Notamacropus eugenii: one gene and its partners. The protein of the gene in region 3 purifies or fractionates together with the protein of the main gene of each other region. This does not show direct contact. Links are inferred from orthologs where the notes say so. Each region holds a gene or a part of one and is shown on either strand. Other genes may lie near its edges.

Region 1 (3,747 bases), on a different chromosome or scaffold from region 3:
GTCTTACCTCTTAGATGACTTCTGACCTTAAATCTCCAACTGCCTTTCAGATGTCTCAAACTGGACGTCCAGTAGATATCTTAAACTCAACATGTCTGAAACTGAATTCATTATCTTGCCCCACTAAATTCTCTCTACTCCCAAACTTTCCCATTACTATTGAGGGTACCATCATTTTCCCACTCTCAAAACCTAGATGCCATCCTTAGTTCCCCTCACTCTCATTCTCCCTACCCCCCCATATCCAATCTGTTGCCAAGGCATGTCAATTTCACTTCTGTAACCTCTCTAGAATATGCCCCTTTCTCTCCTCTGATACTGCTACCACCCTTCTTTATCTTGTGCCTGGACTACGGCAATAAGCTGCTGGGGTGGGGGTGAAGGGGGTCTGCCTGTACCAAGTCTCTCCTCATTCCAGTCCAGCCTTCACTCAGCTGCCAAAGTGATTTTCTAAATCAATAGTCTGATCATGACTCTCTCATTATCAAAAGACTCCAGCAGCTCCCTATCACACCTCCAAGATCAAATACAAAATCCTATTTGGTATTCAAAGCCCTTTATAACTTAGCTTTCGGCTGCTACCCCCCTCCACAAACAAGATAGCTTCAAGCATTTTCTCTGGCTCTCTCCCACACCTGGAATGTTCTCCTTGCTTATCTCTGAATCCTGGCTTCCTTCAAGTCCGAGAAAACCTCACCTTCTTCTACAGGAAGGCTTTCCCAATACCTCTTAATTCTAGTGTCTTCCCTCTGCTAATTACTTCCTACTTATCCTGTATTAGGATCGTTTTTTTACGTACAGTATTTGTTGCTAGTCTCACACTTTAGACTATGAATTCCTTGATAGCAGACTGTCTTTTGAGTTTCTATCTCTAGTGTTTAGTACCTGGCACCTAGTAGGTGCTTAATAAGTGCTTATTGACTAACTGAAGAAAAGGTTAAGATATGTTAGCTAGAGGCAGTGTGGAGCAGTGGATAGAGGACGAACCTCAAGGCCAGTTTAGGGTTACAACCGGAGGGTTTAAGAAGACTTGGTTTTAAATCCTGTATTTTGGATGTCTGATCACACCTGGGCAAGTATTCCTCTCCAGTGTTCTAAGAAACTCTCTTAAATCTATAAATTGAAGAGGTAGTACCAATATGCATGGGTAGAAGGAGTTTCCCATATCAATGAGATTTACATAAAAATAAAGTTTGAGTGTTCAAAACCACTGGCCCTCTGGACACTCTCAGGCACCACTCTTTCCTCAGTCTCTTCCCCTTCTCCCCAGTTCTTCTGCCTACTCCTTTTATTTTCCCTTTCTTCCTCTCTTTTTTCTTTCTCCTGTGCCTCAGATATAAGTTTGCTCCTAATCCCACCAGCAAGCTGCTAGCCTTACCACAGTATAACTGTTCGACCTGAGCGAATGCCTCACCCCGTTTTCTCAAAGGTAAGGAGGGAGTTGGACAAAACGAGCCCAGGAGATCCTTTTCGGTTCTAAACTGACGATCCTGTGAACTCCTCACTTCTTACAAACATCCCCCTCAATCGTCAGGTAATTCAATACAACTTGGAAGCAGAGGCAGCAGGGTTTCTTGGGGACAGACCGCTTCGTAGGTCAGTCTGTCCCGCCTCGAAGATCCACCCTGTGAAACCTTGCTTTTCATTTTTAATTAGGGCTTGGAAGGACGAGGCTGCCGGGCCCTCGTCACCCATTCTGTTCATTTAAAAGGCCTCTCGGAAACGGCGTCCGAAGAGCCGCCCGCAGTAACAGGTGGGCACCCGGGCCGAGGTGGCAGCCCTTTAAAGAGCCGAGGCGCTCGATGCCCGGTCCGGGGCTGGGATGGAGAACGCGGTGCCGGGAGTGCGGAGGAGAACCGAGCTCACGTCCCGATCTCGCCCCCCGACCTCGGGGATGCCAGCGGGGCACTTGGCTTCTCCGCGCGTGTAAAATGAGGGGCAGGCCGGGCTGGAGCCGGCGGAGGCTGTGGGGGTGCGGGGTGCACGGGGTGCACGGGGGCCCTGCAATCAGGGGGAGTCCCGGTGCCCGTTACTCGAGGGCTTCGATAAGGAGGACACACGGCGTCCACACGGAGCAAGGGGTGGTAGGCGAAGCCCGCTCGGGGAAGCCCGGGGCCGGGGGCCGGACCCCGAGGCCGGGGAGGGTTCCCCCGGTCCGCGGCGCCCCGGTCCGGCCTCGAGTTTCGAGGGTTCGCTAGGTCACTCACCCCCGCCACGGACCCTCATAATGAGCGCTGCTGCTGCTGCTGCCGCCGCTGCCGCTGCTGCTGCTGCGCGGCCGCCGCCGCCTCCGAGCGCCCTCCGCTAGTCCGGTCCTGGGCAGCCGCGCGTGCCGCCCTCTCAAACCCCCGGGCCCCGCCCCCCGCCTCGCGCCCTTTTTTTCAAACACAGCAGGCGTCTTCATTGGCTGGCTCGGGGCGCAGGCGGTAGGCGCTGGCACTGGGCGAGAGCGGCTCGCGAGGCCGGCCCCGCGGCGCCGGGCCCTCTGATTGGTCGCGTGAAGACGCGAATTCGAATAGGAGCGGTTGACTGGCCGGGAGCCTGGCCTCTGCGCACCGCGGCAGCCCTGGGCTCGGGGCGGGGGCGGGGCGGAGCGTTGGCGCGGGGGCGGGGCGGGGCGGGGCGATGCGGCAGTGGGCGGGGCCGAGCGGACCCGGCCGGAGTCTCTCGGCCGCTCGGCGAAGTCCTGCGGCCTTTCCGGGCGGAGCGCTCGGGCTTCAGAGACGCCTCGGCCGTGACGAGAGGACCTTGGCACCCGCACCCGAGGTGGCCGCAGGGTCCTCGTCGTAAAGGGACAGACTGACGGCCGAAGCAGGCTCTGCAGTCTTTGACCCTGGCTCCTTCCTCCTATTCCAGACCTGGGCTGGCCTCCCCCGAATCCCGAAAAGTCCGCCCATCTTCTTTCCTCCGGCTCCAAAAGGAGGGGTCTACGTTAGCCGCCCCGACTGCTTCGTCTCTGCCCACCCCTGGTATCCTGGCTTCGGCCGCTCCACCGAAACCGCCCCCGGGGGTGGCCCTTGACCTCCTCTGGCAGACTCAGGGGCGTTTTTCTCAGTCCTCCCTTCCTTGACTTGGGTGTTGGATTTTGTTGGGCTCCCCCATCCTCCCTTGGCATCAGGGTCCTGGCTTTTCCTTGACTTGGTCTCTTCCTCATCAGCTTGAACTGAAGTCATCTCAGATCTTAATATGTCTTCTCTTTCTCAAGAGCACAACCTTGAGGGGAAAGGAATGGCCCCTTAGCCCCTTGTTGAGAAGACCCAGAGCCCAGCAAGGCTTGAGCCCCCACACCTGGCTGGGACAGGTGGGGGACCCCTCTCACCACCTCTCCTGCCACACTCTTAGGCCACCTTGGTCATCCTTGATGCCAGGTCAGATCAGATGACTTTTAGCATTCTATTTGGACCATAATTTTATTTTATCATCTATGTCATGTCTGTTAATGATTGACTTGCCTTCTAGACTATGGTATCAGCAGACAGATGGTATGGAAATAACAGAGGGGCTAGCAGGGAGTATTATAAATCAGTCTTCTGAGGGACATGCAAAGTGTCGCTTTACTGTCAGTAAATAGAAATCTCTAGTCAGTTTGGAACTGAAGGCTCCCAAAATGTTTTCCAGCTTCCATGTTATGTTGGGAAATGGTATCTAAGCCTTCACTTGGAAAGAAACAATTGCTAAAAGCTGCACCATCAAAACAGACTTTGGTTCAAATGGAGTCTATTGCAAAACACAAACATGGGCATGTTG
Region 2 (3,747 bases), on a different chromosome or scaffold from region 3:
CTACTGTGAACTTCTGGGCATCTCAGATGTTTTTGATTTTCCTTCACTGTATCTTTTCTTCAATACGGACATACTACTTCCCCACTCGCTTTTAATTTAAAGCCCTTTGGATTAGATTTGCAAAATACCTGATAAATTGTTACCAGCCTTTGTTAGGAAGATTCTATCCCTGGCCAGTAGTCAGCCATCCCTTTATTTTAAGCCATGATCCAAAAGTCCAACCATTCTCAGATACCACTTTGTTACTAACCTATTAACTTTTCAAATCAATTTTTCTTTTCTGTATACATTGCTTTTGATAGGGAATAATGAGGAAAAGTGCCCATGTTTAGCACATGGTTTTGTAATATTTAATATTTTCTAGGTTCCTTCTCATAGTTATTTGTAGCCAAATAGCACAACTACCACAGAATAACAATAAGTGCATAGCGGTCATTCTTTTCGACAAGATTTGGAAGGTTTTCTGCTATGCCTTGGATACTTGTCTCAGAAAGACAACAGACCTCTCCACTGTTATGATCAGGTCAACAAATAGCTAATTGAGAACTCCAGATTACTTATCACCACTATTTTTCTCTCCTTCCTCTGACTTTTTACTAGATGATTTCTCACCTGATCACTCCTGTGGCTCTATTTTAGCCTGCTCTGGAGGACAAAAGAGGCACTTTTCACTCAGGGCATATCTTTCTCTCCTTCAAAAAGAGCCTTAAGTTTGTTGCTTATTTTAACTCCAAGTACAAAGTTCTCCCTTTCTCCCCTTCCTCTTCTATGTAACATTCTTCCACTTTCCAACCTCTTGACAATATTCAAGTTTAAAGGAAGAAGCTCCTCTTGGAGTATATAAAGTAAGGGCAGTGGGAGTTGAAAGTATGTGAACATATTATTTTCTGCCAACTCTAGGGATATGGATGAAGTGATGGAATGAAATGGCCTCAACTAGGATTTTTCCCTATATTTTGCACAGCTGTTTTTCTAGGCATAAGAAATTGACTTAAGTTGGAAAAGGTTAAAACTAGTTTCAAATTTTCACAAACTGAGGCGTTCTAGAGTTCTAGCTTTAAATCTGTCACAGCATGTATTTCAAATTGTGCTACAAACATATTCTCAAGGAGGCAAGTCCCCTAAAGGCTGCATTTATGTTGGGGAGTGGGAGGAGAGAAAATGAAGATTTCCTCTCTCCACAAGGGTGCTGGTAAACAAACACAGTATGCTTGTCAAAATCACAAATAAATTAGACAGTTATGAAAAGACTCCTTATGCCAGAGCCAAAGAAAACACGTGAGGTTTATAGCCTATTCTGACACTAGGATCTGGTGGCCAGTGGGTATGATAAGCACAATTTCTCTTTGAAGACCTCTTTCTTCTCCTTCTCCTGCCTTCCCTAAAAAAAACCCAACAAAAACCACTTTTGAGGCTCAAACTGCCAGGCGTTCCCCCTAGTGCTCCCCCCTTCCAGTTTTTTTTTTCATTTCCTCCCAGATCCTAGTGTCAGAATAGGCTATAAACCTCACAATGGGAGGGTGGGGGGGACAGAAAGGGGGGAACCTGTATGGGTATTCTCTCATCACAAGGGCTTCCATGATGCTGTGGAATGAGCGCTGGATCTGGAGTTCACTGGCTCAAAAAATGTTTTATGGAAAACCTTTGATGCTGGTTCCCTCTCCAAGCAGGGGGAACCGGGTACACAGTCTCAACCTCTGCAGTCCCAGCCAAAACAAAGGTGACAACCTGCCTGGGCAAAGGCGGAGGAGGAATGCTCTGATAAGGAAGGACCCATCCCATCCGCATGTAGACAAGGCCCAGTCTCTCAGCCTCTCACCTGAGGACCAGGTGGGTCCATGAATGATGCTCCTACCTGAGACCGCCCGGCCCCCACTTCATCAAAGTCATCAGTCCCCTCCTACGGGAAGATGATGAACGAGAGACTAGGGGCAGAGTGAAGGGGAGTGAGGGTGTGGGGAGTATGCTCTTGCCAAATTTAGCTCTTCATTCTTCCCAGTTCGGCCCAGTTCCCAACCAGGGAGGACTCTTCCCCAACCCCAAACAAACCAAACAAGCAGCGGGATCAGCGCGGGGGGTGGGGGGTGGGGTGCTGAACGAAGTCCCCTGGGAGCTGTAGTCCAGCCCCTCTGGCCCTCGCCCTGTCACCGAAGGAGCTACAGAGCGCGGGAAGACTACAACTCCCAGAGGGCAGCACTCCCCGCCGCCCCAGACGCCAAGCTTAACTGCAGCTAGAGAAGATATGAACTGAAACGCAGCAATAAAATGGGGACTCCAACTTCTGTGGAGAGGCGATTACTGTAAACGGGCTTAGCGAAAGGATTTCTAAACTAAACGAACAAGGTACTTTTACCTTCTCGTGGTAATAAAGCCGCGTCGCTCCGCGCCGCCATTGCCATACTTCCCGCTTGCTAACACCAGGCAACTGACTTCCCGAAGCTCTGTGGGGTATGTAGTCTAGTTGGGCTAGCGCAAAACTACTATTCCCAAGATGCACAGCGCCCATGCCTCAACACCCCCCACTCACAACCTCCTCCCCAGGGCCAGTGGGAAGGGAGAACCCATTGCCTTCTGGTTGGTAGAGAGGGTTTAATAAATTAAAGTAATATTGGAGTCCAATTATACAGCTGGAAATAACTTAGAAACAGTAGTTTAAATAATTGGCAAATTGTTTCCTATACCTGCTACCTCCTCCCTCCATCCCCTGCTTCTTAACCCATATTGAAAGCCTGTTCACTCATTATAATGTGTTATCCCAGAAAGGGAGCAAAACGACTAAATATCATCCTACAGGAAGATCGCACCACGTTTAATGGTTGTCTGTAATTCTCTAGACATACTTAGGAGATATCTTCTTGAAGGTGGTAACTGAATAGTGGCGGTAGGCGTGTGAAGTTAGTACAGTGATTAATCATATAGAATAAAAAGGAGAGAGAATATGAGTTAGTTGGTCCTAAGGAAGGGTGTGTTCCTCCTTCGTTGCCGAAGAAGACCATGCCATCAGGGAAATAATGACATGACTTGCACTTGACTTTGTTTTGAGCGAGGGAGGGCTGTGCAGGTCACCAGCCTCACTTCTCCTCCAGAGCCATCTGAATCCAGTGACCAGATATTCATCAGGATGACTGGAGATGACCCAGGATGAGGCAATTGGGGTTAAGTGACTTGCCCAAGGTCACACAGCTAGTGAGTGTCTTGCCTGAGGTGAGATTTGAACTCAGGTCCTCCTGACGCCTGCCCTAGTGCTCTAACCACTGCACCACCTAGCTGTCCCAAAGGAAGGGTAAGAGTGGAAGTGAGGTAGTGAACAGGAGCTTTAAAGAACCCACAAGTTTGAAGTATGGGAAGGGAAAAGACTTCAAGGAACATAAGGAAAGTGAGTATGATTTGGCCAAGGGCAGAAGCTCTTGTACCTAACCTTTGTCCAGAGCCCTTAAAGACTTTTTTGCATATTCTAAGTCCTTGCTTCCTCCCCTGAAGTCATATTCATTTGAGGGACAATTAAAAAAAAGAACTAAATGAGGTCAGTATATCTGAGTCCCTTTTAATTACCACACAAGAATAAGAGAACCCAGGGGACACAAATAAACCTGAGGCTTGTGTTATCAGTGACTATAGATCATTTGCCGATGAATCCATGATTCAAAGCCATCCACATCCAGCAGGAAAACTTCACCACCCACAGGAAATTGTTCTTCTGTTTGAACTTTGAGCAGAATAACATCCAACACAGCAGGCAAACCTTTT
Region 3 (3,747 bases):
GGGCGGGGGCGACGCCGGGGGTGGGGGCGGGGGCGCCCCCTCGCCTACCTCCCGAATCGCGGCCAGCGTGTTCTCGGGGGCATCGTGGCCGCCGCCGCGGTGAGCTATGGCGGAGATGCGGCCGCGGGGCCTGAGCACCTGCAGGGCCCGGCGGTGGGGCACCGGCTCGAAGCTGAAGAAGCGCAGCAGGAGGTAGAAGCTGAAGGTGAAGAGGCAGGTGTTGAAGGGGCTGCGGGTCAGGATCAGCTGCAGCACGAACAGGAAGGAGAAGGAGGCCAGCAGGCCCCCCTGCTCCTCCCACAGCCACATGTCGGGGTCGGGGCCGGCGCCGCCGCGGGCGCCGGCACCCGCAGCCTCCGGGACCCGCCGGGCTCCTCGAGGCGGGGCGCGGGACCGCGACACGATCGGGCCAGTCACCCGCAGAGGGCACCGGCGCGCACAATGGCCGGCCCCGGCACATCCGGAAAGGTAGGCTCCGCGCCGACCAATCAGCACCGCGGAGCTCGGGGCTTTCAAGGCGGGGCGCTGCTATAGCAACGGGACCTAGCGGGCAGGCTGGAGCGTCTGAGGAACTTCGATCGGACTGCGCGGAGGACGGCTCTTCAACCTTGGCTACCACCCCGCGTTCTGGCGGAGGGCCGCTAGGGGGCGCAGAGGCCAAGGCGCTGGCCCCGGCCTGCCTCAGTTTCCTCATCTGCAAAAAAGGGAAGATAATAAAAGCACCTACCTCCCAGACTTGTTGGGAAGATGAAATGAAATTATATTTGTGAACCATTTTGCAAACATCATGTGAATGATCTGATTCAAGAAGCGGACGCTGGGCAATCACACACACTGTGAAGCACTGACACTTCACAGGGGAATGAAGCAAGTGGAACAGCTTTGGAAGCCGGGCATCGCCCAAGAACTCAGGGCTGCTTGGCCTTCTTCCTGGGCTTACTGTTTCATTTTTTAAAAAAATGCTCTTCCGTCCTGCAAGTCTAAGGATGTTCTAAGGCTGGAGACGTCATCTGTAAACCAGTTTGTTGAATATAAAGTTATTTCCTTAAGAGAGATCAGCTGAGAGAACTTGTCTTAAAATACCATTTGTTACATCAGTTCATTTGTTCATCGGTTCTGATTCTGGCTCTTCCACTCATTTGTATGGTGTATAACCTTGATCACATTGAATTCTCTGAAGCTGCTTCCTCATTATTAGTAAAGTAACTGCGTTCTGCTGGTCACTTATGTGACCTTGGGTAAATCACTTAGACCCTTGGCGCCTCTCTGGGAAGTGGGGAATGTTTCATATACCTGGGCGCCTTGGACCAGCATTCGTGGCCACGTCGATGTTTTTAAAGGCGATATTTTCAAAGACAGCACTGTAAGGTCCCTTCCACTTTGACTGCTACAACAGATGACTTAGTTAAAAACAAATCTTTCCCTCTTCTCCCCACCTCCTATTTGGAGGGGGAGGGAGGAGGGAAGCCTGCCTCTTGTGGGAACCACATATCCCAAGATGCAACGTACTCATCCAATCCTGGAGGCCGGACAGGCGGCACGCGTAGCCTTTCGGGAGTTGTAGTTTCTAGTTGGGTAGCCCCAGAACGGAGGCAGTCCCTTTACTCCGGCCCTCCAGCACCGGAAGTGCCTTGCCTGGGAGGCGGAGTGAGGGAGGCGGCGGCGGCGGCGGGCAGCGGCAGCAGCGGTTGCCTGGTGCCGGCGTTGCCGCCTTGAGACCCGTAATATGGCGGGGAGGAGGAGGAGGAGACGGCGGCGGAGCGGGCTGCGCCCTGCAATTAGAGCCTGATCCCTTTGTCTCTCCTTGAGGTCGTGGAGGAAGAAAGAGAGAGAACCCGAAGGGGCCCTGGGGGTTGCGGAAGGGAAGTAGGTGGGTGCCTGGGGTGGGGGGCAGGGCGCTGGGGGCTTCCCACCGCGGCTGGGGGCGGGGACGAGGCGGCGCCTGGGGTCGCCGGGGCTTCCTTCCCTGCCCCTGGCAGTCCTGGCGAACCCCGGTCTGCCTTACCTGGCAGGGTGGGCGAGGGAGAGGCTGGGGTGCATTTGTGGTAGGTCGTGGGAGGAGGAGGAGGAGGAGGAGGAGGATGATGATGATGATCATGATGATGATGATGATGATGATGATGATGATGCGGATGATGCGGGATTGATGGAACTGTGAGCATCACCAGACTGAGCTTCATGCTCCTTCATACTCCTAGGTGGGGTAAGGTGGGGTAAGGGGAAGATTCTAATGCCAGTCGGAAACCTCGGGCGGGGGAACCTGTACACACCTGATTAAAAAAGCAGGAACAATAGAAGTCAATACCCAATTATTTTCCGTGCTTGGGAGGGGTTGATGCCTTACCCTCCCTTTGCATTTTTGAAGAGTAATTCTCTAGCTGAGCAGGCATAGGACCCACTATTTATCTGTTAACTCTTTGCTGCAAGCTACATCTCTCCTATTCAGCTAGTGTTTGTTGAGGCCCTCGTGTTGTGAAACTCTTTAGGTTAGACCTTACTTAGGCCTTTAAAGAAAAAATGGGGGGAAAAAGTGGCCCCGCCCGCAGGATGTTTAATTTATTTGGGGTACAGCGATAAGTAAAAAAATGTGTAAATGTATGATATAATTTGAGAAGGGAGAGCTCTGTGTATGGCATATGAGTAGATCAGTCTAGAAAGTCCTGGAGCTGAAAGGGAATAATGCATTGGATTTTCTTAGGCTGGTGTGAGGTGGTGATGTGGGGAGGTTTCTCTCGTTCAGAGCTGGTCAGGAAATAGCTAATAGGCTAGTTTGACTGAAAGTAAGAATCCTGAAAGTGACTGGGATAGAAATGAGTCTAAAAAGGTACACTGGAACCAGATTGTGAAGAGTTTCAAAAATGCCAGGCTGAGAAGTTTATATTTGATTCTGGAGGCAATAAGGAGCTAGCTGAAGATTTTTGAGAAGGCTGATGTAATCAGACTTATCTAAAACATAATTTTTAATTTTGCTGCTTTGTGGAAGATGAATTGGAAGGGGGAGAGACTGGAATCATGGAAACCAGTTAGGCTGTTGCAGTTCAGGTCATTGGTGATGAGAGCTGATTCATTTGAGTGGAAGGGGACAGGTATGAAGGGCTGTTGTGGAGTTAGTAGAATTGACAAGATTTGACAACTGATTGGATATGGGGTACAAAAAAGAATAAAAATGAGCTCTCTGAAGTTGTAAACCAAATGAATAGAGAGTAATGTCTGTTGGTCTTTATTGCTAGGTTACCACAATAGTTCTCATCTTGCACAGTTGTATCTTACCTTTTCTGAACTTTCTGGTAGAAAGGGAATATTAGATTTCTGGAGTGCTGAATTAATAACGAGTAGGGTCCTAAACTTATGAGATTACCAAAGGATTTCTAAGAAAGGGCTGACCACCCAATTATGTCCAACTTGGGAGCAGCTAAAAAAAGGGAATAATACGTGGTACTGTAGTTACGGTTGGGGTGGCTTTGTGACCTGGGATGGCTTGGTGACCAGAGGCACTCTTTAAGTTTAAAACTTATTAACAGTGGATTGTGATATGAGTAATTCAGCATCCACCTATCTAATCATATGTAACATAGATTACTCACTTTTTAAATGGTTGACATTGTAATTTAGAGGTACTAATTTGCCCATGAGAGGAGGATTGCCAATGAAACTAATCTCGAAATTCTTCTGTTCTTGGATGAATGTTTGATTTACTTTTTTTGAAGGGCTTGGAAATAGGAATAGTTGATAGATGCTTTCTTCAGA

The links.
Region 1: the proteins of CCP110 (region 3) and CCNF purify together in Homo sapiens (affinity purification with western blotting; 7 studies listed by BioGRID and IntAct, with this or other methods). This does not show direct contact. The link is inferred for Notamacropus eugenii from reciprocal best matches to the Homo sapiens genes CCP110 and CCNF.
Region 2: the proteins of CCP110 (region 3) and CEP97 purify together in Homo sapiens (co-immunoprecipitation; 10 studies listed by BioGRID and IntAct, with this or other methods). This does not show direct contact. The link is inferred for Notamacropus eugenii from reciprocal best matches to the Homo sapiens genes CCP110 and CEP97.

The regions. Positions count from the first base shown.
Region 1 is NC_092872.1:47,180,805-47,184,551, forward strand, and holds the start of CCNF (cyclin-F), read right to left. Parts: upstream 2,390-3,747; 5' UTR 2,227-2,389; coding exon 2,208-2,226; intron 1-2,207. UniProt on the Homo sapiens protein: Substrate recognition component of a SCF (SKP1-CUL1-F-box protein) E3 ubiquitin-protein ligase complex which mediates the ubiquitination and subsequent proteasomal degradation of target proteins.
Region 2 is NC_092876.1:368,365,340-368,369,086, forward strand, and holds the start of CEP97 (centrosomal protein of 97 kDa), read right to left. Parts: upstream 2,458-3,747; 5' UTR 2,400-2,457; coding exon 2,354-2,399; intron 2,344-2,353; exon of another isoform or gene 2,118-2,343; intron 2,055-2,117; exon of another isoform or gene 1,820-2,054; intron 1-1,819. UniProt on the Homo sapiens protein: Acts as a key negative regulator of ciliogenesis in collaboration with CCP110 by capping the mother centriole thereby preventing cilia formation. Required for recruitment of CCP110 to the centrosome.
Region 3 is NC_092874.1:399,743,053-399,746,799, reverse strand, and holds the start of CCP110 (centriolar coiled-coil protein of 110 kDa), read left to right. Parts: upstream 1-1,304; 5' UTR 1,305-1,363; intron 1,364-1,627; exon of another isoform or gene 1,628-1,870; intron 1,871-3,747. Other genes in the region: GDE1 (glycerophosphodiester phosphodiesterase 1), read right to left, coding at 49-309.